Kluyveromyces lactis: one gene and its partners. The protein of the gene in region 1 purifies or fractionates together with the protein of each later gene. This does not show direct contact. Links are inferred from orthologs where the notes say so. Each region holds a gene or a part of one and is shown in the gene's direction. Other genes may lie near its edges. The genes, in order: MAK21, ERB1, CBF5, DBP9, RSA3, UTP20 and DBP6.

Region 1 (4,210 bases):
GTTCTAATGATAGAAAAAAGCAGCATGAGATTCGAAGTAACTCTTCAATTTTTCATGGCATCGTATGCTCGGTCTCTCGTTCACACACCATCCATCCTTTCACTCCTTTCCCCGGTGTGTGTTTGTCGTCATCTACCTATATTGGATTTATGACTCTGTAATAGAAAAAGGCAAAGAAACGTCACAAAACATCATAGCATCGCTACAGCATTCGATGGAAAATCCAGAATTAGCTTGAACGGACAGCTTAAGAAGCTTTATCTTCCCCGTCAATTGCCATCATTGTTCCCATATCATAAGGATCAGCTTTATCATCTTATTACTTTTATCACGCCATTATTACCATTAGCACTCTATTTTTATTTTCATTTCAGTGAAATGATGATGAAAATCAGAAAAAACACAAAGACAAATGCCATTGCAGTTATTTTTTTATACGTTTCCTTTGTCCATTCATTAGGATACCAATTGTCATTGTCTTACGAATATATAGATATTCTTCGCTATCGCTACTTAGAAAGAAAATCTCGTTTGTCTTATTCAACTTTTGAAATGTACAAGTTTGAGTTATTTTTAGGCAGGTCAATGGGTTCGTATCTATGACCCTAATGTCCCTCTAAAACTACACCTTGTATTTCGAGGTAATCAACTCGACTTGAACCTCTTCTCTTGTATGCACAATGAAAAGAAGAAGAAGTATAGTAGAAGTATTCCTTTACCAAGAGTTGTTCTCAATACGTAACTTACCTTGTTCACCTCGAGCTGGTGCATCTGAAACCATGAGTTTCCAATCAATTCATGCAAATGCACGTCTATTTCTGCCCCAAGAATGTATATGTATGTGTGTCAATGCTTATTGATGCATGCACCATTGGCAACTAATGGCACCATTGGCTTCCACCATGCACGTCGTTTGTGCGGGTAATGGCGAGGTCCCAAAAAACATTCTTTAATTGGGATTGATTCCAGTAAAGAAATTCCAATGCAGAGAGGCGGATACTTGAGGGAAGTACATACATTGTGCAACTTTTGATTCAACTTACTTTCACGCTTTACCTACTCCTGAGCATGTCCATTGGCTCGTAACGCTCTCGGCAAACCATGTGACAAGCAGATTCCCCGCTTCTTGGTCTCACTACTACATAGAATGCTTTTGTAAATACTAAACGAGAGAGACAAACTCATTACCCGGATAATCGTTAATCACGTGATGAAAAGAAACGACAAAAATTTTCTACCTTTACACCAAAATCAAGCTCATCTCATCTCATCTCATCTCATCTCATCTCAACTCTTATTATGCGCTCAGACTGTGTTTGTTGATATACACAGAGGCCACTTCTCTGTTTGTCGTTTGATTGATCTATTGCTTGGAAAGAAGCAACACTCGATAACAAGTGCAAATCTGGAATGAGTCTTGATTTATCCAAATTGAAGGAGAAAGTGTCCTCCAAATTGGGAGCTTCAAAGGCCAAAGACACTAAGCCTAAGAAGAGTAAGAAGCAGGGCGAAAAAGAGACAGACGTTACTCCAGCTAAAGAGGAAACTGCTGTCACCAATGAAGAATTGATCCGTGAAGCTCTGTCTCTTGGAGCCTCTGAAAAAGATGTCCAGCTTGTTGATGGTGTTGACGACGATGCCAGTGAGATTGAATTCAATGAAGCCGATGAAGAAGTTGATGACGAGTTTAAGAGCGATTTCAGTGCTTTATTGAAGAATATGGGATTCGATAAACTACCTGAACCTGAAGTTGTAGAAGAACCAACAGTTACTGAGGATGCAGGCAAAGAAGAGAAAGATATTGAAGAGGAGGAGGTAGAAGTTGAAGAAGAAGAAGAAGAAGAGACGGTAGAGAAAGAGGAGGAACCACTTAGTCCTAAACCAGCAGAAAAAAAAAAGGAAGATCAATCCGACATGATCACTCAAACTCATATTGTTCAAAGTGATAAATTACTTGTTCCATCAGATTTGTTGTGGTACGAAGTTCCTTTGGACCCTGAATTAACAAGAGAACAGGATCCGCTAACGAAAGAACAGATAGATAAGTTATACCAGCGTGGTAAAGAGGCCTTAGAATTAGATAACACTAATTACTACGAAGAATTTACCAAGAACTCATCTCAACGTAAGTTTATGTCCCAGATCTTAAGCGATGGTACGTTGAACGATAAAATTAGTGCTTTGACTTTATTGCTACAGGAATCTCCATTGCATAATATCAAATCTCTTGATTCTTTGATATCCTTTTGCGGGAAGAAGTCAAGAAATTCCGCATTACAAGCTTTGAATGCTCTGAAGGATTTGTTCTTAAATGGTCTGTTACCTGACCGCAAGTTAAAATACTTCAAGAACCAAAACCTTTCCATGCTACTGAATAAGAGAACTTTAGCTATTTTATATTTTGAGGATTACTTGAAGGGTCTATATTTCAAGATTTTGGAAATCTTTGAGAAATTATCCCATGATCCTATCATCTATGTCAGAATGCAAGTGCTAACACATATCTTTGACCTGCTAACAGCCAAACCAGAACAGGAATTCAACTTGTTGAAACTTGGTGTTAACAAATTAGGTGACATTGATAACAAAGTAGCGTCAAAGGCTTCCTTCAAACTTTTGAAACTTGAAACTCAACATCCAAATATGAAATCAATTGTGGTAGACGCTGTTGTCGATATTGCCATAAGGCCTCAAGCTGACTATCATACTACATACTATTCCGCATTGACACTTAATCAAACAATTTTGAAACGCTCCGAGAAGAATCTAGCAAATCAGCTAATCAAGACCTATTTCACTTTATTCGAGAAATTCTTAATCCAAACTGATGCTGATAACGAGGAATCAAAGAGTGAAATCAAGGAATCCGATAAGTCATATGAAAAGAAGAGAAAGAAGAACTTCAAGAAGGGTAAAAAGGGTGGTAAGTCTGTCATTGAAGAAAAAAGTGCTCAAGAAGTTATCGAGGAAAAAAATACCAAATTATTCGGTGCTATTCTAACTGGTTTGAATCGTGCTTTCCCATTCTCTGATATGCCGGGATCCGTGTACGAGATACATCTTGATACATTGTTCAAGATAACACATGCGTCTAATTTCAACACTTCAATTCAAGCATTAGTATTGATTCACCAGGTTGTCGTGAAGACAAACATCACAAGTGATAGATATTACAAGACATTATACGAATCCCTACTCGACCCAAGATTGGTGTCGTCATCGAAGCAAGGTATTTACTTAAACTTGCTTTACAAATCTTTGAAAGATGATAAAGACATTGGAAGAGTGGATGCTTTCGTAAAACGTATATTGCAAGTCTGTGCCCATTGGTTGAACATCGGTGCCATTAGTGGTATGTTCTTTTTGTTGATACAACTTTCAAAGAGTTTACCGCAGATCAGAAATGTTCTAATCAACTCACCACTAGACTCTGTTTACGAATCTGATGACGAAGATTCCAGGGATAAAACTAAGGAAAAACCTGGTTACGATAGCCGTAAACGTGATCCAAAATATGCCAACGCTGAAAATTCATCGCTTTGGGAGATAAATCAATTCTTGTCCCATTTCCATCCTACTGTGCAGTCGTACGCACAAGGGTTCTTCGACGGTGACACTCAAGAAACAAGAGAGTTAGTCAAACCCGATCTTGGCCTATTCACGTTAGCCCATTTCTTGGATAGATTCGTGTACCGTAACGCCAAGCAAAAGCCAACCACTAGAGGTTCATCTATCATGCAACCTTTGGGAGGTGTACACACTGGTTCGTTATTAGTGAAGGCCAGCGATACCACATTGCACGAAGTACCTGCTAACACGGAGAACTGGTTAAGTAAGAAGGTGCAAGATATCAAGCCAGATGAAAAGTTCTTCTATCAATATTTCTCTACAAAGACTAATGCCATCAAATCTACCAAGTCAGGTGCAGAGGATGAAAACGGTACAGCTGAATTCGACGAGGAAAGCGATTTGGACGAAGATGAAATTTGGGATGCTTTAGTGAAGTCAAGACCTGACGTCGAAGGTGACGAAGAGGACAGCGATGTTGAGTTCAGTGAGGACGATTTCTCACAGGATGATTTCGGATCGTCATCCGAAGATGTCGATATTGATCTCAAAGACCTTGCATCTTCGGGAGACGAAGATGAGGCATCAGAAGCTGATCTTGAAGCTGAAGAAGGTGAACCAGAAGACATCAGTGACTTCGATC
Region 2 (4,075 bases), on another chromosome or scaffold:
GGGTTTACTAAGCTTGACCAAGAATTTCTAGAAAAATTGGCCGCTTCAGTTTCAAAGACATGCGTATTCTAACTCATTAAGTAGTTACACTCGTTAATTATATTCTCTCAATTGATATCACAACTCTTGACCGTATATGAAGTTGCCTGTTATTGCATACCTAACATAGGGCATGCTGCCCCAGGTCCAGTGGAACAGAAGTTTTCTAGTTTTCAATGAAAAAAATGATTTCGCCCAGGATCGAACTGGGGACGTTCTGCGTGTTAAGCAGATGCCATAACCGACTAGACCACGAAACCATCTTGTGAGGTCTGTCGTAATATAGACTGAAGACAAGCCAGACGAGAGGTCATGTGAGCTAGCCAGCACACGGCAGAGTTCCAAGACGTCAGTGACTGGGCATATGGATCCTGTGGTATCCAGAAGGGATGGCCTAGATGGATCATAGACGGTCACGTGATGGTCTTGAGTGCGCGTGGAGGACGGTAGCTGCAGAGGACCTACAAGGGCATGGAGGCAATGAGTTGCCATGACGAAGTCTGACGACCATCCGAGTATATAAGTCGAGTATAAAAGGCTGAGCTATGTTGCGACCTCTTGGGGAGGTTGGACGCATATACTCAACGATCTAACTAAATAGATTATTATATTATATTCGTTATATTGTTTGATATCAACGATCCCTCATCAGGCGATTAATCAATCAACTATCATCCAAGGCATATCACAACAAGATCTGAGAGAACTACATGAGTATATGTTACATCGTTAAGAGTTTCTGAAGAAACGAAATAGGTCTCTCTTATCAGCGCCCCAAATTGGAATAATGAAGTTTACTGGAAATAGCTTCTTCAATGATGAAATTACAAACTTGAAAACGATGTTGCATCTACTAGAATAAAACTAAGATAACTGTCTATGATGCAAAAAAAATAAGAGTTAAGAATTACATTCATTGTAGGCTAGCGACCAAAGTAAATATCTTCAACGTAAGTAGAAGTATATGTGGAGTTGATTGAATACCAGTTCCCTATCTTTGCTGAAGGGTACTTTGACTTTTTCAAAATAGCATTCTTGTTCAAAACTTTGTAGAAGTAATTAATGTATCGTAATTTTCTTTCTTTTTGTTTCTTAAAATTTTCAATTTTCATCTTGAGAGATGAGATGAGATGAGCTGAAGTGAATAGACCACAGAGATAACCAGTACTTCTCAAAGTTAACGGCATCAGAAGAAGCTCTGAAAGTATAGAGAGCCAGAAAACAATACCAGAAACTATGGCCAGAAAGAATTCTTCTTTGAATGGTTCTGAATCAGCGGAGCTTGTTGTAAAAAAGAGAGTTCTCGAGGAATCTGAATTGTCCGATTCTGAAGATGAAAGAATTGAAGTTGATGGTTTAATCGATGAAGAGGCTAGCGAAAATGAAGCTGAGGAAGCTGAAGATGACGACTCTGATGCTGAATTCAATCGCTTATTAGCTGAAGAAGAAAATGGACAGGAGGAGGAGTATAATACTTCAGATTTTTCTGAAGAAGGCGATGCTTTTTCCATTACCGACAAATTGTCAAATGTAAAGTTAACAGTGATTCCAGAAACAAGCGATGAAGGCATTGTTCGTACCAAGTATTCAGATGGAAGACCAAGAATTCTTAAGTCAGAAATTAATCCTGTTTATGATAGTGATGATAGTGATGCAGAAGCTAAGAACACAATTGGTAACATCCCACTATCTGCATATGATGAAATGCCACATATTGGTTATGACATTAATGGTAAGAGAATAATGAGACCAGCCAAAGGATCTGCTTTAGATCAATTATTGGAATCTATAGAATTGCCAGAGGGTTGGACAGGTTTACTAGACAAAGACAGCGGTGCCTCTTTGAATTTGACCGAAGAAGAACTTGAATTAATCAATAAGTTGCAAAATAATCAACAGACGGACGAATCTGTGAATCCATACGAACCTTTAATCGACTGGTTCACTAGACACGAATCTGTAATGCCAGTTACGGCCGTCCCAGAACCGAAAAGACGTTTCGTTCCGTCAAAGCACGAAGCCAAGCGTGTGATGAAAATAGTCAAAGCAATCAGAGAAGGTAGAATTATCCCACCAAAGAAACTAAAGGAATTAAGAGAAAAAGAAGAACAAGACAGTCATAACTACGATCTCTGGGGAGATGCCGAAGAAATCTCTGAACATGTTATGAACTTGAGAGCCCCAAAATTGCCACCACCAACAAATGAGGAGTCTTACAACCCTCCGGAAGAGTATCTTTTGACCCCAGAGGAAATTGATGCATGGGAAAAGATGGAACCAAGTGAAAGAGAGAGAAATTTTGTGCCTCACAAATTCGCTGCATTAAGAAAAGTTCCAGGTTACTCTGAATCTGTCAGAGAAAGGTTTGAAAGATCATTAGATTTGTATTTAGCGCCTCGTGTTCGCAAAAATAAGTTGAACATTGATCCTGAATCTTTGATCCCAGAATTGCCCTCTACAAAAGATTTGAGACCATTTCCAATCCGTTGCTCTACCGTTTATGTCGGTCATAAAGGAAAAATTCGTACAATGTCCATTGATCCAACTGGATTATGGTTGGCTACTGGTTCCGATGATGGCACTGTCAGAGTATGGGAAATTCTTACAGGTAGAGAAGTTTACCAAGTCACAATACTTAATGCGGAAGAAAACAATGATGACCACATAGACGTTGTTGAATGGAATCCCGACAGTACTACCGGTATCCTTGCGGTTACTGCTGGCGAAAACATCTTCTTGCTTGTTCCACCAATTTTCGGCTTTGAAATTGAAAACACAGGTAAATCAAAGATTGAATACGGTTTTGGTTTCGATACTTTCGGAAACGTCAAAAAGAGTAATCTCAATGTGAATAGCGATGATGAGGATGACGGTGCTGAATCACATGCTGTCAAGAAACAGGTTGCTCAATGGAATAAACCAACCGAAAGGCAAGCTGCCAATGATATTTGTATCGTAATAACTTGTCGTAAATCAGTGAAAAAGCTTTCATGGCATAGAAAAGGTGATTACTTTGTCACTGTTCAACCAGACTCAGGTAATACATCAGTTTTGATTCATCAATTATCCAAGCATTTAACTCAATCGCCATTCAAAAAATCTAAGGGTATCATTATGGATGCAAAATTCCATCCATTCAAGCCACAGCTCTTGGTCTGTTCTCAAAGATACGTCAGAATTTATGACCTATCGCAACAAGTGCTAATCAAGAAACTTCTACCTGGTGCTCGTTGGTTATCTACTATTGATATTCACCCAAGAGGTGATAACTTAATTGCATCCTCGTTTGACAAGAGAGTGTTGTGGCATGATCTTGACCTTGCAAGCACTCCATATAAGACCTTGAGATACCATGAGAAGGCTGTAAGAAGCGTAAGTTTCCACAAGAAACTACCACTGTTTTGCTCAGCTGCGGATGATGGTAACATCCATGTTTTCCATGCCACGGTCTATGACGATTTAATGAAGAACCCTATGATCGTCCCGTTGAAGAAACTAACCGGCCACAAGATTGTGAATAGTTTAGGTGTTCTAGATACTATATGGCATCCACGTGAAGCTTGGCTATTCTCTGCAGGTGCCGACAAAACCGCTCGTTTGTGGACTACCTGATAGAACCCTCATGACGGGATATTTGTAAAACACTGTATACTATGGACATCATTACCTATCAATATTACAAGTAGATACTTTCTAATTAGTGTTCAAGGGAATACATTATTATCTTTGGATCAGAGCTCAAAAGGTATCCATGTCTCTCATCATTGCCATTTCCTCATCTGATGCGATATCATTACCGTTATTTGTTGTGCTGGCAACGGTCGTAATTTTACTCAATTCGTCTAACTCTTCAGCGTTAGGCAGAGCGTAGCCATTTTGTGTATGTTGCCGTATGTTTGTATCAGTGGTGGACAACATTTCATTCGTGTGCCGCTGGTGATGCGAAGAATATAGAACATCATCATCATCATCATCATCATCATCATCGTCATAGTTGCCGTCATTATTCTGATTTTTGTCTTTGTCTAGGCTGATA
Region 3 (3,108 bases), on another chromosome or scaffold:
ATGAAAACATAGTTTTAAAGTCAAAACATGACGAGGTTATCAAAAAGAAGAAGGAAGACCTTGCATTTTTCAATGAGAAGTTTCAAAAAAGGTTGTTAGCGATGAAACGTGAAATAGATAAAAATGCTGACATGTATCATAATGAACTACAAAGCTACAGGACTAATTACGAGAAAACTTTAAGTAGTGCCTTAAAAGTTACTCTTAAAGCAGAATCTGCGCTTAGTGCCATATACAGCAATAATGTGGATAGATTCGGGTCTACAAACCGGACTTTGAATTATTTTATGAAGAAAAGAGATATGTTCCAAAATATCAGAGACAATATGGTCTCCAACAAGCCCAAACCAGAATACAAACCTGCGATCACCATTACAAGTGTTAGTGATGGCATAGAAAATAAAGACAATAGAAACGAAGAGTTACACTACATATCAGAACAAAAACAAGGTTTTAATGATTCACTCCGTGAGCTTAAAGTAGCCAATGTGAATAGCAACTGTTCCTCAAGGTCGAAACACAACGCTAAACAAATTATACAAAAGCTCCGAGAGTGGAAGCAAAACCAAAACACATCAGAGCTATCGCCAGACAAAGAAGATTCCATATTTTCAACTGGAATTGAGACAGATTATTCAACTTCAAATATCGCACAGTTATCCACTAGGAACTGGGCTAGCGCTTTGAAGAACAACTATAACGCCAAGTACTTGGAATCTATCTGAATGAAAACAGCGTACTAAGTTAACAGAATTTAACCTAACATAATGAACATATTAGCAGCTAGTTTAGTCCATTAAATAAAAATGCAAACTCACTTCCTAGAAGGCTATAAAAACTACTCTCACTTGGCAATGCTATTTCCAATGTCTGTCATATATACTTAAACGTCAAGGTGAATATAATTCATTACCCGGAAATAATTGCTTTTTGAGATATCTGAAAATTTTCTACCTGAAGAAAAAAATTTGATGAAGACGATGAGATGAGATGAGCTTTAACAAGAAAAGTATAGAGTTCTATTAGAAGTAGATTCATCTTACTGGACTAAAAACTGTCACTTTAGTGTAGATTCTGCTTTACGATATTGTTGCTACTATCCTTTTATTGTTTTCTCTCGATATTTGAAGGAGATAGTGTACTGGATTGTTCGTTAGAAAGCTAATAAGTAAGATAGAGATCGATGTCTGACGAATTTGTTATTAAGCCAGAGAGTGTTTCACCATCTAGTAACACTAGTGAGTGGCCTTTATTGTTGAAGGACTATGACAAACTATTAGTCAGAAGTGGTCATTACACACCAATTCCAGCTGGTGCCTCTCCTTTGAAGAGAGATTTGAAGTCATATATCAGTTCTGGTGTCATCAATTTGGACAAACCTTCAAACCCATCTTCTCACGAAGTTGTTGCTTGGATCAAGCGTATCTTGCGTTGCGAAAAAACAGGTCATTCTGGTACTTTAGATCCTAAAGTCACTGGTTGTTTGATCGTCTGTGTTGACAGAGCTACCAGATTGGTCAAGTCTCAACAAGGTGCTGGTAAAGAGTATGTTTGTATCGTTAGATTGCACGATGCCCTTAAGGACGAGAAGGAATTGGGCAGAGGTTTAGAAAATTTGACTGGTGCTTTGTTCCAAAGACCTCCTTTAATTTCTGCTGTTAAGCGTCAATTACGTGTCCGTACCATTTATGACTCCAACTTGATCGAATTTGACAACAAGAGGAACTTGGGTGTTTTCTGGGCTTCCTGTGAAGCTGGTACTTATATGAGAACTTTATGTGTCCATCTTGGTATGCTTTTAGGTGTCGGTGGCCATATGCAAGAGTTGCGTCGTGTTAGATCCGGTGCTTTGTCCGAAAACGATAACTTGGTCACCCTACATGATGTTATGGATGCACAATGGGTATACGATAACACCAGGGATGAATCCTACCTAAGAAAGATCATTCAACCATTAGAAACTCTATTAGTCGGTTACAAAAGAATTGTTGTCAAAGATTCTGCTGTTAACGCTGTTTGTTACGGTGCCAAGTTGATGATTCCAGGTCTACTTCGTTATGAGGAAGGTATTGAATTATATGACGAAGTTGTATTAATCACCACCAAGGGTGAGGCCATTGCAGTTGCCATTGCTCAAATGTCTACTGTCGATTTAGCTACTTGTGACCACGGAGTTGTTGCCAAGGTTAAGAGATGTATCATGGAAAGAGACCTATATCCAAGAAGATGGGGTCTTGGTCCAATTGCCCAAAAGAAAAAACAAATGAAGGCTGACGGTAAGCTAGACAAATATGGCCGTGCCAACGAAAATACTCCAGAGACCTGGAAGAAGACTTACGTTTCATTGGAGAATGCTGAACCAACTACCGCCCCTGCATCCAAATCAGAAGAAAAACCACTGATCAAAGAAGTAGAAAAGAAGGAAGTCGAACAGAAGGAAGAATCAAAGGAAGAATCAAAGACACCAGAAGAAAAGAAGGACAAGAAGGAAAAGAAGGAGAAGAAGGACAAGAAGGAGAAAAAGGAAAAGAAGGAGAAGAAGGAGAAGAAGAGAAAGGCTGACGATGATGAGTCTTCCGAGAAGAAGAAGAAGAAGTCAAAGAAATAAACGACTACAATCTAAGTCCTTCATATCATCGATCGAAATTTCAAAACTGCATAGAGTTTATCATTTAGGTTATGTACACTGTAGAATATTTTTAATCATTGAAAAACGTATTTCGTCACGACTGTTTTTTGTACCCTGTGTCGATGTTGTATATCATTGTATTCGTATATATAAATTTGTAAATTATTTATGCGCGTGTGAAGACACCATTACGTCTTCAATTGAAGTAATGGCAAAAAGTAATGGTAAATGTATGAGGTAGATAGAAGATTTGATAATAATACTTGGAGTTTTTTTTTTTTTGGCAGACATCAATTGTTCGGAACCAAATAGAAGTCGGGAAACTTGCAGATTGGTATGTCTTTTATTTGCATGATGTCATTTGCTCAATAAAAAGGTAAATGAAGGTTAAAATCTATGCAAATGGTTACATTGTGAACAGAAGTCGAGGTGTCACAATGAAACGTCCCGTTTCTTACTTTACCAGTATTAACAATCAT
Region 4 (3,420 bases), on another chromosome or scaffold:
TGGCATATCTGCCAAATGTTTGGTGACGTAGATGTATACATTGACGAAGAAAACGTCTCATTGAAGAACATCAATCCCGAATTCAAGACGAGGAAGATAAAGAAGGGTGAACTAGAAATAAAAATCATGGGAGATGTAATATTAAATATAGTTGACAATGTAGCTACATTGCAATGGACTCAGAATGTTATCAGTGATTCAGTCGCGGATAGTGTCATGGCAATTCTACTGAGTGTCGAGAGCGCTCCAGCAAGTATCAAAATGAGTTCGAAGTCATGTGGACATCATCATGGACACGATGATCACACGACTAAAATTAAGAACATATCGAGAGTTTTCAAGGAACAGTTTGGTGATACTTTTACATTATTTTTGAATGAGGAAGACTCCAAAGAAGAAATAAAAGGCACTATCAACTTAGGAAAAACAACAGCATGTATAAACTTCTCAAAAATGGTTGTGGAAGAATGTAACTCTAATCCATTGAAAGGTAGAATAGAGAGTTTATTAAAAATTGGCTCCGACTTGGTGGCCCCATTGTGTTAATCTGTCTCATATATAGATATGATTATATATGAGCTAGTCATTAATCATCTTTTTGCATTAACTATATACTTTTCAACCCTATACTGCCATCTTGCCAAGGTGTTCCTCTGTACTAAATAATCTATTAAAACTTTAAAGATGCATTCAAGTTTCAATTAACTGAATGAACATATCGTTTTCGACAAGTTACAAAAGACACCAAGAGGACAAAAAACCATTTACTAAACTACTAAACGCGATATATATATATATATTCTCATTATAACAGTAAATTTTAAATCAATCTACCAATACCATGGCAAAATCAGAGCTACAGTGAGGTATTTCATTCACATTGCCAATCCAGAAGAGACAAGATAACTCAATCACGTGACTCATAAATCCTTTTGCCTGTGTAGTTTCTTTTTGCACCTCAAGAAAATTTTTGGGAAGCTCATCTCATCTCATCCAGAGTCTGAACGTACAAGAGCTGTAAAACAGGCTAAATGGGTCTCAACTATCAGCAGCATTAACCTTTTGATCGAAACTTACAACCGAGGTTATAGTTAAAGTGTTCGACGAGAGCTAGAGTCCAGAAAAACGCTTCAATATGGCTCAAACAAGCGCTTCCCAGGGATACATTGATGATTCTTCTTCTTTCGATTCGTTCCACTTGGATTCACGTTTATCACAAGCCATCCGCAGTATCGGCTTCAAACACCCTACTTTGATCCAATCCAGTGCGATACCATTAGCTCTTCAAGAGAAAAGGGATATCATAGCGAAAGCTAGTACCGGCTCTGGTAAAACTTTAGCATATTTGATACCAGTGATTCAAACAATTTTAGATCATAAGAAGGCAGATCAGAATGATGAAGGTGCCACTCTAGGGGTAATATTGGTCCCAACTAGAGAATTGGCTCAGCAAGTTTTAGAAGTTGTTGAAAAGCTCATTGTTTTCTGTTCTCAAGAAATTAAATGCTTAAATCTTTCATCGGGTAATGTATCGGGAAACTTATTGAAATCTTTACTTACCGAAAATCCAGAAATATTGATAGCTACGCCGGCCAAGTTAGTAGATTTACTAGATGCGCAAGATGTTAATATTGACAGGTTGAAGTTCTTGGTTATCGATGAAGTTGATTTGGTGTTAACTTTCGGATACCAAGAGGACCTTACGAAGATTTCAGAACGCTTACCATTGAGAAAGAGTTTACAAACTTTCTTGATGAGTGCCACTCTAAATGACGATATCCAACACTTGAAGCAGCAATTCTGCCGTTCACCAGCGATTTTGAAACTTAATGACGACGAAGTCAACAAAGATCAAACAAAGCTTATTCAATATTATGTGAAGGTTGGAGAATTTGATAAGTTCCTATTGTGTTATGTGATTTTCAAACTGGGACTAATTAAGGGTAAGACATTAATCTTCGTTAACAATATCGATAGAGGATACAGACTAAAGCTAGTTTTAGAACAGTTTGGTATTAAATCTTGCATTTTGAACAGTGAACTGCCAGCAAATTCAAGACAGCATATCGTAGAAGAATTCAACAAGAACGTTTATCAACTGTTAATAGCTACAGACGATACTGAATATATCAAAGAAGAAGACGAAGACTTAGAATCAGAAAAAACTGAGGATGGTTTAGTTGAGGTTGTCGATGATTCCACTGTTACTACGAAAGACAATGCAAAGAAACAAAAGAAGCCAAAGCTAAACGTGGAGAAAGACAAAGAATATGGTGTATCTCGCGGTGTGGACTTCAAAAATGTTGCCTGTGTATTAAACTTTGATCTACCAACCACTGCAAAATCGTATGTACATAGAATTGGTAGAACAGCTCGTGCAGGGAAGTCAGGAATTTCTATTTCTTTTGTTGTTCCTTTGAAGGAATTCGGGAAGCATAAACCATCTATGATCAAGAGTGCTAAGAAGGATGAAAAGATACTAGGCAGAATTATAAAACAACAGGCTAAATTAGGCTTTGAACTACAGCCTTACAACTTTGATATCAAACAGGTCGAAGGTTTCCGTTATAGAATGGAAGACGGTTTCCGTGCAGTAACTCAGGTTGCTATTAGAGAGGCAAGGATAAAGGAGTTAAAACAGGAACTTTTGGCAAGTGAGAAACTAAAGAGACATTTTGAAGAGAATCCTCATGACTTAGAGAGTTTGAGACATGACAAGGAGTTACATCCTGCTCGTGTACAACAGCATTTAAAAAGAGTTCCGGACTATCTTTTACCAGAAACTGCTAGGAAAGATAATAAGAAGATCGGTTTCGTTCCATTCCACAAAAATTCGCATAGAAAGAACGGAAGAGTGGTTAAGAAGAAGGGGAATGTCCAAAGAAAGGGTAAATCTGATCCTTTGAAAAGCTTCAAATAGATATTCAATTAATTACGACCAGCCTATTTAACATTAGCACTAGGAATATATAAGTATAGATCAAATTCTTGATAAATTTGGAACTATCCTATCATACCACCATCTAATTGCTAGTTCATTGTGAGAATGTGATATATACTCCCATAATTTAGTAATGATATGTTCTTTCATTAGAGGCGGAAGAGTTCGGGCTAATTCGTTACATGCATCTAACCAATCCCATAAGTATTCATCAGGCACATTGTGGAATTGTTCTATGAGACATTGTATGCTAGTGGATTTCATTTGTAAATTTTCAGTGTTGATTATTCTAATATAGGTCGAATGAATTAGATCCCGGATTAAGTCATTGTCATAATTAGAAAGATATCTTATAGTTGGAAGTATGCTTTTCCAAATTACAATTAATTGTTTTTCTGTCATTAAAGATGCACTGCATTGTCTGAAACAATCATGTAAGTATAGCCTCAATCTTTTGAGTTTAAAGTTTGTGACATCTG
Region 5 (2,266 bases), on another chromosome or scaffold:
CATTCTGTCAATATGACAAGTTATTGGCCACATGTTCCGGTGACAAGACCATCAAAATTTGGTCCTTAGAATCATATGCCGTCGTAAAAACTTTGGAAGGACATACCAATGCAGTTCAAAGATGTTCCTTCATAAACAAGAACAAGCAACTGATAAGTACTGGTGCTGATGGTTTAGTTATTATTTGGGATCTATCAACTGGTGAATCGGTCAAGACACTAGATGCTCACAATAACCGTATCTGGGCTCTTGCTGTTATGAACGATGGTGAATCCTTCGTTACAGCAGATGCTGACGGCTTCTTTGAGTTCTGGAGGGATAACAGTGAAGAGGAACACGAACGTAACCTCGAGCAAGAGAAACTGAAGATTGAACAAGAACAATCATTACAAAATTATCTCTCAGAAGGTGACTGGACTAACGCATTTTTGCTTGCCATGACCTTGGATCACCCAATGAGATTGTACAACGTCTTAAGACAAAGTGTAGACAACTCAAATGAGGATCCAAATGTAGTTTTCAACAACGAAATTGACGAGGTTGTGTCGACTCTAGATAAAGATCAACTTCTTCTTTTAGTGAAAAGGTGCAGAGATTGGAATACAAATGCAAGAACACACACAGTAGCCCAAAAGATGATAAGGTGTATTCTTCTAAGACAAAATATTGAAGAGTTGAGCGAAATTCCTGGGCTTGTAAGGATCGTTGAATCAATAATCTCATACGCAGAGAGACATTACTCAAGAATGGATAACTTGGTTCAAGAAAGTTATATCTTAGATTACGCTTTAGTTCAAATGGACAAATTGCTATAAAGAATGTAAATATAGCACTAGTCGTCATGTAGATATATACATATAACAGTACAACACACCCACCGCATCAACTCTGAATAGATACCATATCCAGTCAAGGGCCATCCATCAGTAGAATAATAAGTTTGTTACCCGGCTTTGAGTTTTAGACAGAATTTGTTTCCCTGCAAAAGAAACTTCATCAAATAACTAGACGATGTGAAGCGATGAGATGAGATGAGATGAGATCGGCTCTCATCCTTCTTCTGTTAAAAGGTGACTTCAACTGTGAATTTTTGACAGTTATACTTTAAAGTTAACTCTCCTCCATATTAACGAGAAGCTCTATCGGAAACTATCATGTCAGAGGGACATATTGCAGCTATTAGCAAGACGAACAAGAGGAAGAACAGAAGAAAGAAGAGAAGAACGCAAGACGTGTCCGACTCAAGTTCTGATTCCAGCTCCGATTCTGAAAATTCATCGGTAGAAGATAATGATACTAAGCTCGAAACTGTGGAGAAAGCTGCATCTGATGTTGAAGATGTAACGCTTTCAGATATTGACATGGATAAAGAAGAAGATGAAGCTGCATTGGACGATAAAAAAGCCAGCCGAAAAGAGGGAAGCGTCTTGTCCTCGGAGACTGTGGACAAATTAAATAAAGTGGGACTAACAACAAGCGATTTAACTGGCAACAATGGCATTCATCTAGGGAATATCGATTTGAATAAGATGTCTGCTACGTTAGATGAAAGCAGCAATAAATTGCTAGAGAATAATAAGGACAAGAACGGATTAAAGAATCAATATTTGAGTATGCTATTTGAGAGTTATGGTGATGACATGAACGAATTGAGAAACGCACCAGATTTCACTTCGAAGACCCTTGTCATGCTAGCGAATGTTCTAAAAGACGGAGGAGATATGTTTGATTTGGAGACCTTGAAGACAATAGTAGAGGATAAATAGTGTTTGGATCTATCTAGCATTTTAAAAACACATGTATAATAAAATAAAAATACAAACCATCTATCACGATACAGCTAGAATGAATCAAATAAAGTCTGGACGGCAAATTGATGATTTGGAGTAAGATATGAATACGTATTGGAATGATAAAAAAAAAAGTACGTGATACTAGGGAACGCTTAAAAGAAGAAGTAAAATAAATAAGAGATGATGAGGATGATTATGATTAATTAATTTTGTTTTATTTGTGACTCTCATTCGATGACCTTAACGAAGAACCAAGCTGCACCTGCAGCAGTCCCACCGACTGCTATCATTTGTAAGCCTTCCAGTAACTTTTTCTGCAGGGTACAATCGTTCATTGAGACTTGGGATTTGAAATATCCGAACCAGAACAACGTGAAAGTCATTAATGCAATAGAGATCAGGAGACCGGTTCCCACCGTTTCAACAAAGAAATATGGTATTAACGGGACGAACCCACCGGCAAAGTATCCTCC
Region 6 (4,024 bases), about 440 kb from region 1:
CCATGACACGTATCGAAGTGGTTGTTGTCCGTTACGCCTTCTTATATAGTTTATTCTTATCGTAGTGATGACAAATGCCAGTAAGATGAACATGAATATAACGAATATTACCCACCGTGCCCATTCCCAGTGGGAGGAACACGAGAGACCCCAGCAGTTGTTATCAATATCAGCAGATGTAGTGGTAGCACTTTGAACAGCGCTGACAACACTGGATGGCGTAGATGTAGTTGTGGTTGACATAGCAGGCGAAGTAAGAGCAATATTAGAACCCGGAAAAGATATACTTCCCTTGTTTATTCAATTAGTAAGTTCAGGAGTCCTGCTCTTGGTGTTGGGTTAGCCCTCTTTGTTTTCCGATCCTTTTGATCGAAGGTCTTGTATATCAACAGACAAAAAAGGGGACGAGAAGCGACTTGTAACAAAAAATCCAGTGGGAAATCCTCCTTTCAGCGATAGCTTCGTGTGCAGGTTGGATTTCAAACTCCTATCGACTGCCCTCTGGAGTCCTGCTGGCATATCCTTGTTGCAGCAAGAGTAGCGAGGAAATCTGATCGCGAATCATGACAAATTTCATTTAAAAACGACTATTCCCCATATGCAAATATATATCAGTATATATAATATATCAAGAGACCGATGGAGAGAAATACTGGAAATTTAAGAGAAAGGATATACCTATTTTACCACGAATGTCCAGAAAATGTTGCAGAGCCTCAAATATAACCAAGTTGAGTTCCAAAATCAGCACTACTTCTGCGCTACATAATGTTTACCAATTTTTGTATAATGAGACGATGGAGTTTCTTATTAGTTGAAGTTCTATCATTACCTCGCGATTCTAGGTTGGATACTCTCAACTTATATATTGTAGCGGTTCTACTATTAGTACTCCCACAACTATCGTACCTTCCTGGCCCGTTAAAAACACCTCATAAATGATCAGTGCTGGCGGTCAGTCCTGTGGCCGTAGTCGTCCTCCAGATCGGCCCTGCGTAAAAAGAAACTGGATTTCTTCACGTTCCATTCTAGGTAAAGGGAAAATTTTCAGAATTTGGAAAAGCATGAAAACTCATCTCATCTCATCTCATCGCATAAACAACAAACACAAGAGGGTCTACACACAGTAACTGTCAATCACCAGTCATACAAGACCTGCTTCAGTACATTGATATAACATTGAGGACTAGTCTTGTTCTGTTTCCCATTTTAAAATAATCAACCATGGGTAAGCAAAAGACTACAACGAAATCTACCAAGAGGTATAGATACTCATCTTTCAAGGATAAGATTGATGATTTGAAGATTGAACCTGCTAGAAATTTGGATAGAAGGGTTCATGATGATGTAGAGACCTCCCATTTTCTATCCTCTTTTGAACACTGGAAGGATATCAATTTGAGTGGGAATTTCGGATCCTTTATGGATTCGGTAGAGAAATTGGTTCAAACTTTGCCTCAACTTTTGTACCATGAGGATGAAATCTTTGCGAATTTGGAGCAATATATAGATAAACACGATGAGAGATCTTTACAGCCGTTGTGTGATCTCTTGGCTCAGTTCTGTCATGATTTGGGACCTGATTTCATGAAATTTTATGAAAGGGCGGTTACATGTTTGATTAACTTATTGGAAGCTGCCACTGAATTTGAAAACTCAAACGTGTTCGAATGGGGGTTCAATTGTTTGGCATACATTTTCAAGTATTTGTCACGTAGTTTGACTCAGAATTTGACGCCCACTTTCGACCTCTTATTTCCGTTATTGTCACATAAGAAAGAATACCTCTCCAGATTCTCCGCTGAGGCTCTATCGTTTCTAATAAGGAAATCTCCACAGAAACATTTGGCCACTTTTGTCACATTTTCGTTCCAAAAATTGTGCTTGTTAAAGAATGATAATTTTTATGACGGTTTGCAAACTTTATTTGGTGAATCATTGAAGAGTACTTCCGAGGCATTGCATTCAAGATCAAATATAATATTCCAAACTCTTCTGCAAATCGCATTCGAGAAAAATTCAGACATAGTATGTGTCTCTTTACTTTGTGACATCATTCTAGATATCACTAGACACACTTCTGCGGAGAATATTCAGAGTTTATACGATTTGATCCTTGAATTCTTGGACGAGAATTTGAACGGATCTAGTGCTGCTGTTGGTAAAACGTTGAGAATGTTATCTACGCTATCGTTTGCCGAGAGTGGTAGAAAAGTACCAAGTTGGGAAAAGTTATCTGGTGTTCTACGTAAAGCCACTCAACATGATAGTCTAAATGAATCACATGCAGATCTAGTGTCGTTTACATTTGCCATCGTCTTACGTAATGCTGACGTTAAAACGCTAACTTCTCTGCATAAATACATGTTCGAACTCTACTTGACGAAATTCTCAGCTCATTTCATTGAATTCTTCAAGATTTCTATGGATATCGATAAGGGTAAAGTGCTTTCTTTCAACGGGTTGAAATACTTGCAGAAATACGTTAATAACTGCTGGGCAGATGGTGCTCAGAAGATTGCATTGTTCCTTTTAGAATCGGAATCTTCACAAGATTTGGACTTGGTAAATCATCTCTCTGCACCGGAATTCGCAACCCAGTTGTTGAAGGATATCAGCGATGCTAATGTAAACGATGAACAGGAAATTTTTTCTGTGTATTGGAAACTTATAATATTAAAGACATTGAAACAAGAGGATGAGGAAATCATTATGCATTTGCTAGAGAGGGTTTTCCAAAAGGATGTGTTATCGGATTTTGAAAAGGATTTTGTTGGTTTCCTACTTCAAGCATTAACATTTAAAATCACTTCATCTGAGTCGGTCATGGCTGCAAAATTATTGAATATTCTAGTTCCGAGAATTATAGAGCTACAGAACAGTAGATATTTTATTGAAGGTATTTCACATGTTTTATCATATTTGGAGGACGACACTGATATTTTGAAATCTTTATCAAAGATTTTACCCATATTAACAGATAATCTATTACTTCCGGACAAAACCATCCGTTACGAAACCCTTAAGTTTATAATATCTGTTCTAGAAAAGCAAGGCAACTCAGTTCCCCAATTATTTTATGATCTAAGGATTTTGGAAGAAATCCCTCTGGATCTTCATACAAGCCGTGACATTACTCTCAGAGTAAGGAAACTAGGTGCAGACTTTGCCAAGATGGAAGCTGAGGATTTATTGACTAATGTCTTTTTCAAACATATGTTTGGGCTTCTAACTGTCAGATTCTCTCCAATTTGGGAAGCTATCTATGAAATAATTCCAGAAGTTTACACCAAAAACCAATCCCTTGTGTGGAGTTTGGCTATGCGTTTCCTCACTGTTCTTGATGAAACAAAGGACGTCAAATATTATAGCATTTCCAATAACATTGACCTTCAAGAACCATTCTGGACCGTTAGTATCAATAGAATGAATGACTCCATCCTTGCTTCTGACAAAGTATTTAAAAAATACTCTGCTAGCGATTCAACTATATTGGATGTTTTGGAGGAAAGAAGGAATTCTATGGTATATCCATCATTGATTAGAAGTCAGATATTCAAAGTTTTATTGTCGATTCCTAGTTTGGCAGAGCGTCATTCAAGGGACATAGTTCCTTTTTTATTTAATGAAGAAGAATCTGAAGAAATTTTTATCACAGAAGATCAACCAAGTATGGATGTACTAATTCCAACAGCATCACAATGGACTGAAAGTGATAGAAACCTTTTATTAAAGCTCGTTGGCAAATTCAAAAATATCAAATCCATTTACAAATCAGAGGAAGTGCACGATAGGTTAATGGCACTTTTGAGCAGCAGAACTACAGAAGTTCAAAAATTAGCTTTAGATGCGTTGTTTTGTTACAAGGAATCTCATATAACCAAGTACAGAGAAAACTTGAAGAACTTATTGGATGACACTTTATTTAAAGATGAAATTACCAAGTTTTTAGCAACCGATGACACCAAAACTATCCAAAAGCAAGATGAAGAAGCTGTTATGGGTTATATTGTGAGAATTCTCT
Region 7 (3,733 bases), on another chromosome or scaffold:
CAGAAGACTTGGAGGTCAATTCCAAACTGACTCCTTCGGTGATACTAGATTTTTGAACAATTTTGCAAATACACGATCCTTTGGCGATCGGATCGGAAAACGTGATGGTCTAACGTGCGAGCCGGACATTTATTCGTACCTCATTGGACCAACCAAAATGTTACCACATGCTGAAAGATCAAAATTGCAGTTCGGTGGTGATGAATGTTTCTTATGTTTAGTGACAGACGGAGTAACTGAATTGATGAGCGATCAAGAACTCTGTGATCTCATCACCTCCACAGTGAACAATAGAGGTTTGAAAACTGCTTCTCCACACTTCTGTGCTCAGGAAGTTTTACAATATGTTATGGCTATTAGCTCTAAACATTCTGATAATGCTACTTGCGTAATTCTGCGGTTACCGAACTGGGGAAATTGGCCTGTCATTGATCGCACTGGTGCGATTAGAGAGGAAAAGCTACTAAGTGGTGTATCCGGTGGAGAAAGATCTAGTGGTTGAAAAAAGTCCACAAACTTAATCATAAATTAAATTCAAAAGAAACCTCAAGTAAAGAGTGTATATTCTATTTTACTTCAATTATTATATATAGTACTCGTTATGATTAACATTTGCATCTATTTAACAATGAGAAACACCATTAACTCCCAATTAATCGAGAGCACTTGTTCAATAAATCATTTCTTAGTAATAGATACAGTTACGTATGGAGTACACGGTGGTACATGAACTTCCAGGTGTGATTTTATATACATGCTGCTGTCTGACTAACTTTGTGCTTTTCATAAATGTCAAATCATTTGTTCTTAGTTTGAGTATAACTGAATCTCTTTCTTGTTGGTACGAATTCTCCTAGCTTACTTCCTACCATATCTTCTGTCACTTCAAACGCGACATACTCCTTACCATTATGCACTTGGAATTTCAGTCCGACAAATTGAGGTAATATGGTGGCAGATCTGGCATTTGTTCTAATGGGCGTACCTTTGGCCAATGCTTCTTTTATTGGTAATGGGACTATATTTGGACCTTTCCATACAGAACGTGATAGTAATCTCAATGACGGGAACATTTTATGACGTTATGAGTGTTATCGTAGACGCGAGATATTTGTCTAACTGCTGGAACCTTTGGCTGACTGATATCATGGTAGTGACTTAACTCTATTATATCTTGTCGTTATTTCAAGTTTTACAGATTGAAATTTTTTATGAATTCCGTTCTGAAATAAAATAATAGACGAATGGCGATGAGATGTAATATGATGCGATGAGCTTCAGGAATTTAGAAGGTCAGTAACAGCATAGCGACAGCATAACGATAGCATCCAGTCAATAACATGTTTGCTGCAAGGTTTGATCCTACTAAGGTGACTGAAAATGTACTAACAGCTGAAGTCACACAAATAAAAGAACCCACTGTGCCCCAAAAGAGGAAAAGAGATGCGGAAACTGATGATGAAGGCTCTGGTGAGGACGATGCTTCCAGCAGTGAGGATGATGCTTCCAGCAGTGAGGATGATTCCGATACAATTAGTGAGCAAGATGAAAACAAGGTTGCATCTGTTGCGCCTACAGAAACTTCTCAGCAATCAGTTGATGCAAAGCACAGTTCCGTATTAAATAGATTTCAACAGACTCTTTCCCTGCAAGGTGCGTTGAGCGCTTCAGACAAGGTCAGTAGTGACAACGATGTACACGATGAGGACGTATCCATGAAAGATGTTCACAGTCTTACCCCAATTCCTCAACCGGCCAAAGTGACCAATGAAGCCTTGAAGCTTCTAGATCCGTCTACATATAAATCCACTGCGTGGGATGCAGCAACCAAAATTCATTACGATAGTAAAATGGTTAAACAATTCGATAGCTACGAAGGTGAATTAGATGCACGTCTGCTTAAAAATATTACCTCCAATTTCTCATCTGAAACGTTCCCTATTCAGACCATTCTATTCGATAAAGTGCTCCCGCTTCTAAACTCATCTTTTAAAGCAAACAGAAAACTTTTCACAAGACGAGTTGGTGATATATTAGTAAACGCATCAACTGGTTCCGGTAAGACCTTAGCATATTCTGTCCCTTTGGTTCAAATTTTGAGATCTAGAACAGTGAATAAAGTTAGGGCAATAATTTTGGTTCCTACTAAAATTTTAATTCATCAAGTCTACGATTGTCTCTCTAAACTAAGTCAAGGGACCAGTCTCAATGTATCAATGTCGAAACTCGAGAACTCCTTGAAAGAAGAACACAACAAATTTTTGTATAACTCTCCAGACATTCTAATCATCACTCCGGGCAGACTGGTCGATCACTTGCAGATGGAATCATTTGACCTAAAAACTTTGAAGTTCTTAGTCCTTGATGAAGCAGACCGACTATTAAATCAGTCATTCCAAAATTGGAACCAAGTGCTTTTCCACCATTTGACAAACGATAAGCAGGATAAACGTCCAGGAAACGTAATCAAAATGGTCTTTTCTGCTACTTTGACTACGAATGCAGAAAAGTTGTACAATTTGTATCTCCACAACCCCAAGATCTTCCTCACAGATTCTGTTAAATTATATTCAATACCTAAGAAATTGCAAGAACTCAATGTCAATATTCCTACTGCTAAGAGTCTGTTCAAGCCACTACTCTTACTAAGAATAATACACGACATCAAGAGCAGTGCTTCGAGAAACGCTAAAATATTAGTGTTTGTGAAGAGTAACGAAGCTTCGATCAGATTAGAAAGCTTATTACATGCCATGTTAGGATCAGGAATAATTGAAGATGAGTATAATATGTTCCTTTCATCAATTCATTCGAACATCTCGAAGGGTAGTAGCAGAAAACTAATACAGGAATTTGCATCCTCAGAACAAAAGAAATCAGTTTTAATTTCAACGGACATAATGGCTAGAGGTATCGATATAAATGAAATTACTCATGTGATAAACTATGATCTACCGATCTCCTCTCAACAATATGTTCATCGTTGTGGTAGAACTGCAAGGGCTAATACTGAGGGTATAGCAATTAACCTTCTAGTTGGTAAGGGTGAACAGAAATTCTGGTCACAACATATTGACACTGACCTCAGTCGTGACATTGATGGTTATCAACCATCTGCTTACCTTGACGAAGAAAAGTTGTCTGAATTATTCTCTATTGAAGACACTTTGAAGGATACGTACAAGGGTTGTATCAAACAACTCCAAACCAGCAAAGAAGCAGACAGTAAATAGCATATTATCACTAAATAAGTAAAAAGATCATAGTAACTGTACCCCATTCTTGGGGCTCGTCTAAGTGATATTTGAGAAGGCACTAATGATCTTATACTTACTATCTATTTTGCCTCTTCTGATGAGTTGATCATGTGACATGTTATTTATTGTTCGAGCAGTGTTTTTCCTCCACTTTAGAACTTTCTTTACCTTAAATTGATATGTGATTGATCGTTCAGAATCACTGAAACACTATAAACCTTCAAAGTACCTTAGGCAGGTTAAACTGTCTTAACTAGTGCTTGTTAACACATATAAGTAGTCAGAGAATAACCGCTAGATACTTCTGATGTCACCGTCAAAATATTTACTAACTCCTCCGGAGGAATTACATCCGCTCACCGACTCCAACCCACAAATCTATCCTGATTTTGATCCGTGGATTCACACCAAAGAGGAGGATAAGATACTTAAAGAGTTCGTGGCAAAAGGCTACTATACTGCTTCTAGGGTAAACT

The links.
Region 2: the proteins of MAK21 (region 1) and ERB1 purify together in Saccharomyces cerevisiae (affinity purification with mass spectrometry, with the first as the bait; 5 studies listed by BioGRID). This does not show direct contact. The link is inferred for Kluyveromyces lactis from reciprocal best matches to the Saccharomyces cerevisiae genes MAK21 and ERB1.
Region 3: the proteins of MAK21 (region 1) and CBF5 purify together in Saccharomyces cerevisiae (affinity purification with mass spectrometry; 3 studies listed by BioGRID). This does not show direct contact. The link is inferred for Kluyveromyces lactis from reciprocal best matches to the Saccharomyces cerevisiae genes MAK21 and CBF5.
Region 4: the proteins of MAK21 (region 1) and DBP9 purify together in Saccharomyces cerevisiae (affinity purification with mass spectrometry, with the first as the bait; 4 studies listed by BioGRID). This does not show direct contact. The link is inferred for Kluyveromyces lactis from reciprocal best matches to the Saccharomyces cerevisiae genes MAK21 and DBP9.
Region 5: the proteins of MAK21 (region 1) and RSA3 purify together in Saccharomyces cerevisiae (affinity purification with mass spectrometry; 4 studies listed by BioGRID, with this or other methods). This does not show direct contact. The link is inferred for Kluyveromyces lactis from reciprocal best matches to the Saccharomyces cerevisiae genes MAK21 and RSA3.
Region 6: the proteins of MAK21 (region 1) and UTP20 purify together in Saccharomyces cerevisiae (affinity purification with mass spectrometry, with the first as the bait; 3 studies listed by BioGRID). This does not show direct contact. The link is inferred for Kluyveromyces lactis from reciprocal best matches to the Saccharomyces cerevisiae genes MAK21 and UTP20.
Region 7: the proteins of MAK21 (region 1) and DBP6 purify together in Saccharomyces cerevisiae (affinity purification with western blotting; 3 studies listed by BioGRID, with this or other methods). This does not show direct contact. The link is inferred for Kluyveromyces lactis from reciprocal best matches to the Saccharomyces cerevisiae genes MAK21 and DBP6.

The regions. Positions count from the first base shown.
Region 1 is NC_006041.1:1,108,069-1,112,278, reverse strand, and holds the start of MAK21 (RNA-binding ribosome biosynthesis protein MAK21), read left to right. Parts: upstream 1-1,410; coding exon 1,411-4,210.
Region 2 is NC_006042.1:2,460,601-2,464,675, forward strand, and holds ERB1 (ribosome biogenesis protein ERB1), read left to right. Parts: upstream 1-1,275; coding exon 1,276-3,651; downstream 3,652-4,075. Other genes in the region: KLLA0_F26587g (L-methionine (R)-S-oxide reductase), read left to right, coding at 1-72; CSM3 (Csm3p), read right to left, coding at 3,778-4,075.
Region 3 is NC_006040.1:408,122-411,229, forward strand, and holds CBF5 (pseudouridine synthase CBF5), read left to right. Parts: upstream 1-1,183; coding exon 1,184-2,608; downstream 2,609-3,108. Other genes in the region: KLLA0_D04774g (uncharacterized protein), read left to right, coding at 1-725. UniProt on the Saccharomyces cerevisiae protein: Catalytic subunit of H/ACA small nucleolar ribonucleoprotein (H/ACA snoRNP) complex, which catalyzes pseudouridylation of rRNA. This involves the isomerization of uridine such that the ribose is subsequently attached to C5, instead of the normal N1.
Region 4 is NC_006039.1:416,717-420,136, reverse strand, and holds DBP9 (ATP-dependent DNA/RNA helicase), read left to right. Parts: upstream 1-1,135; coding exon 1,136-2,920; downstream 2,921-3,420. Other genes in the region: cleavage polyadenylation factor subunit YSH1, read left to right, coding at 1-546; PEX8 (Pex8p), read right to left, coding at 2,981-3,420.
Region 5 is NC_006042.1:1,225,808-1,228,073, forward strand, and holds RSA3 (Rsa3p), read left to right. Parts: upstream 1-1,154; coding exon 1,155-1,766; downstream 1,767-2,266. Other genes in the region: U3 snoRNA-associated protein UTP13, read left to right, coding at 1-815; CCC1 (Ccc1p), read right to left, coding at 2,021-2,266. UniProt on the Saccharomyces cerevisiae protein: Required for efficient biogenesis of the 60S ribosomal subunit.
Region 6 is NC_006041.1:1,547,840-1,551,863, reverse strand, and holds the start of UTP20 (Utp20p), read left to right. Parts: upstream 1-1,224; coding exon 1,225-4,024. Other genes in the region: KLLA0_E17447g (resistance to Congo red protein), read right to left, coding at 1-243. UniProt on the Saccharomyces cerevisiae protein: Involved in nucleolar processing of pre-18S ribosomal RNA and ribosome assembly.
Region 7 is NC_006042.1:665,470-669,202, reverse strand, and holds DBP6 (putative ATP-dependent RNA helicase DBP6), read left to right. Parts: upstream 1-1,340; coding exon 1,341-3,233; downstream 3,234-3,733. Other genes in the region: type 2C protein phosphatase PTC6, read left to right, coding at 1-502; RSM19 (mitochondrial 37S ribosomal protein uS19m), read right to left, coding at 798-1,073; SRB8 (Srb8p), read left to right, coding at 3,565-3,733. UniProt on the Saccharomyces cerevisiae protein: ATP-binding RNA helicase involved in the biogenesis of 60S ribosomal subunits and is required for the normal formation of 25S and 5.8S rRNAs.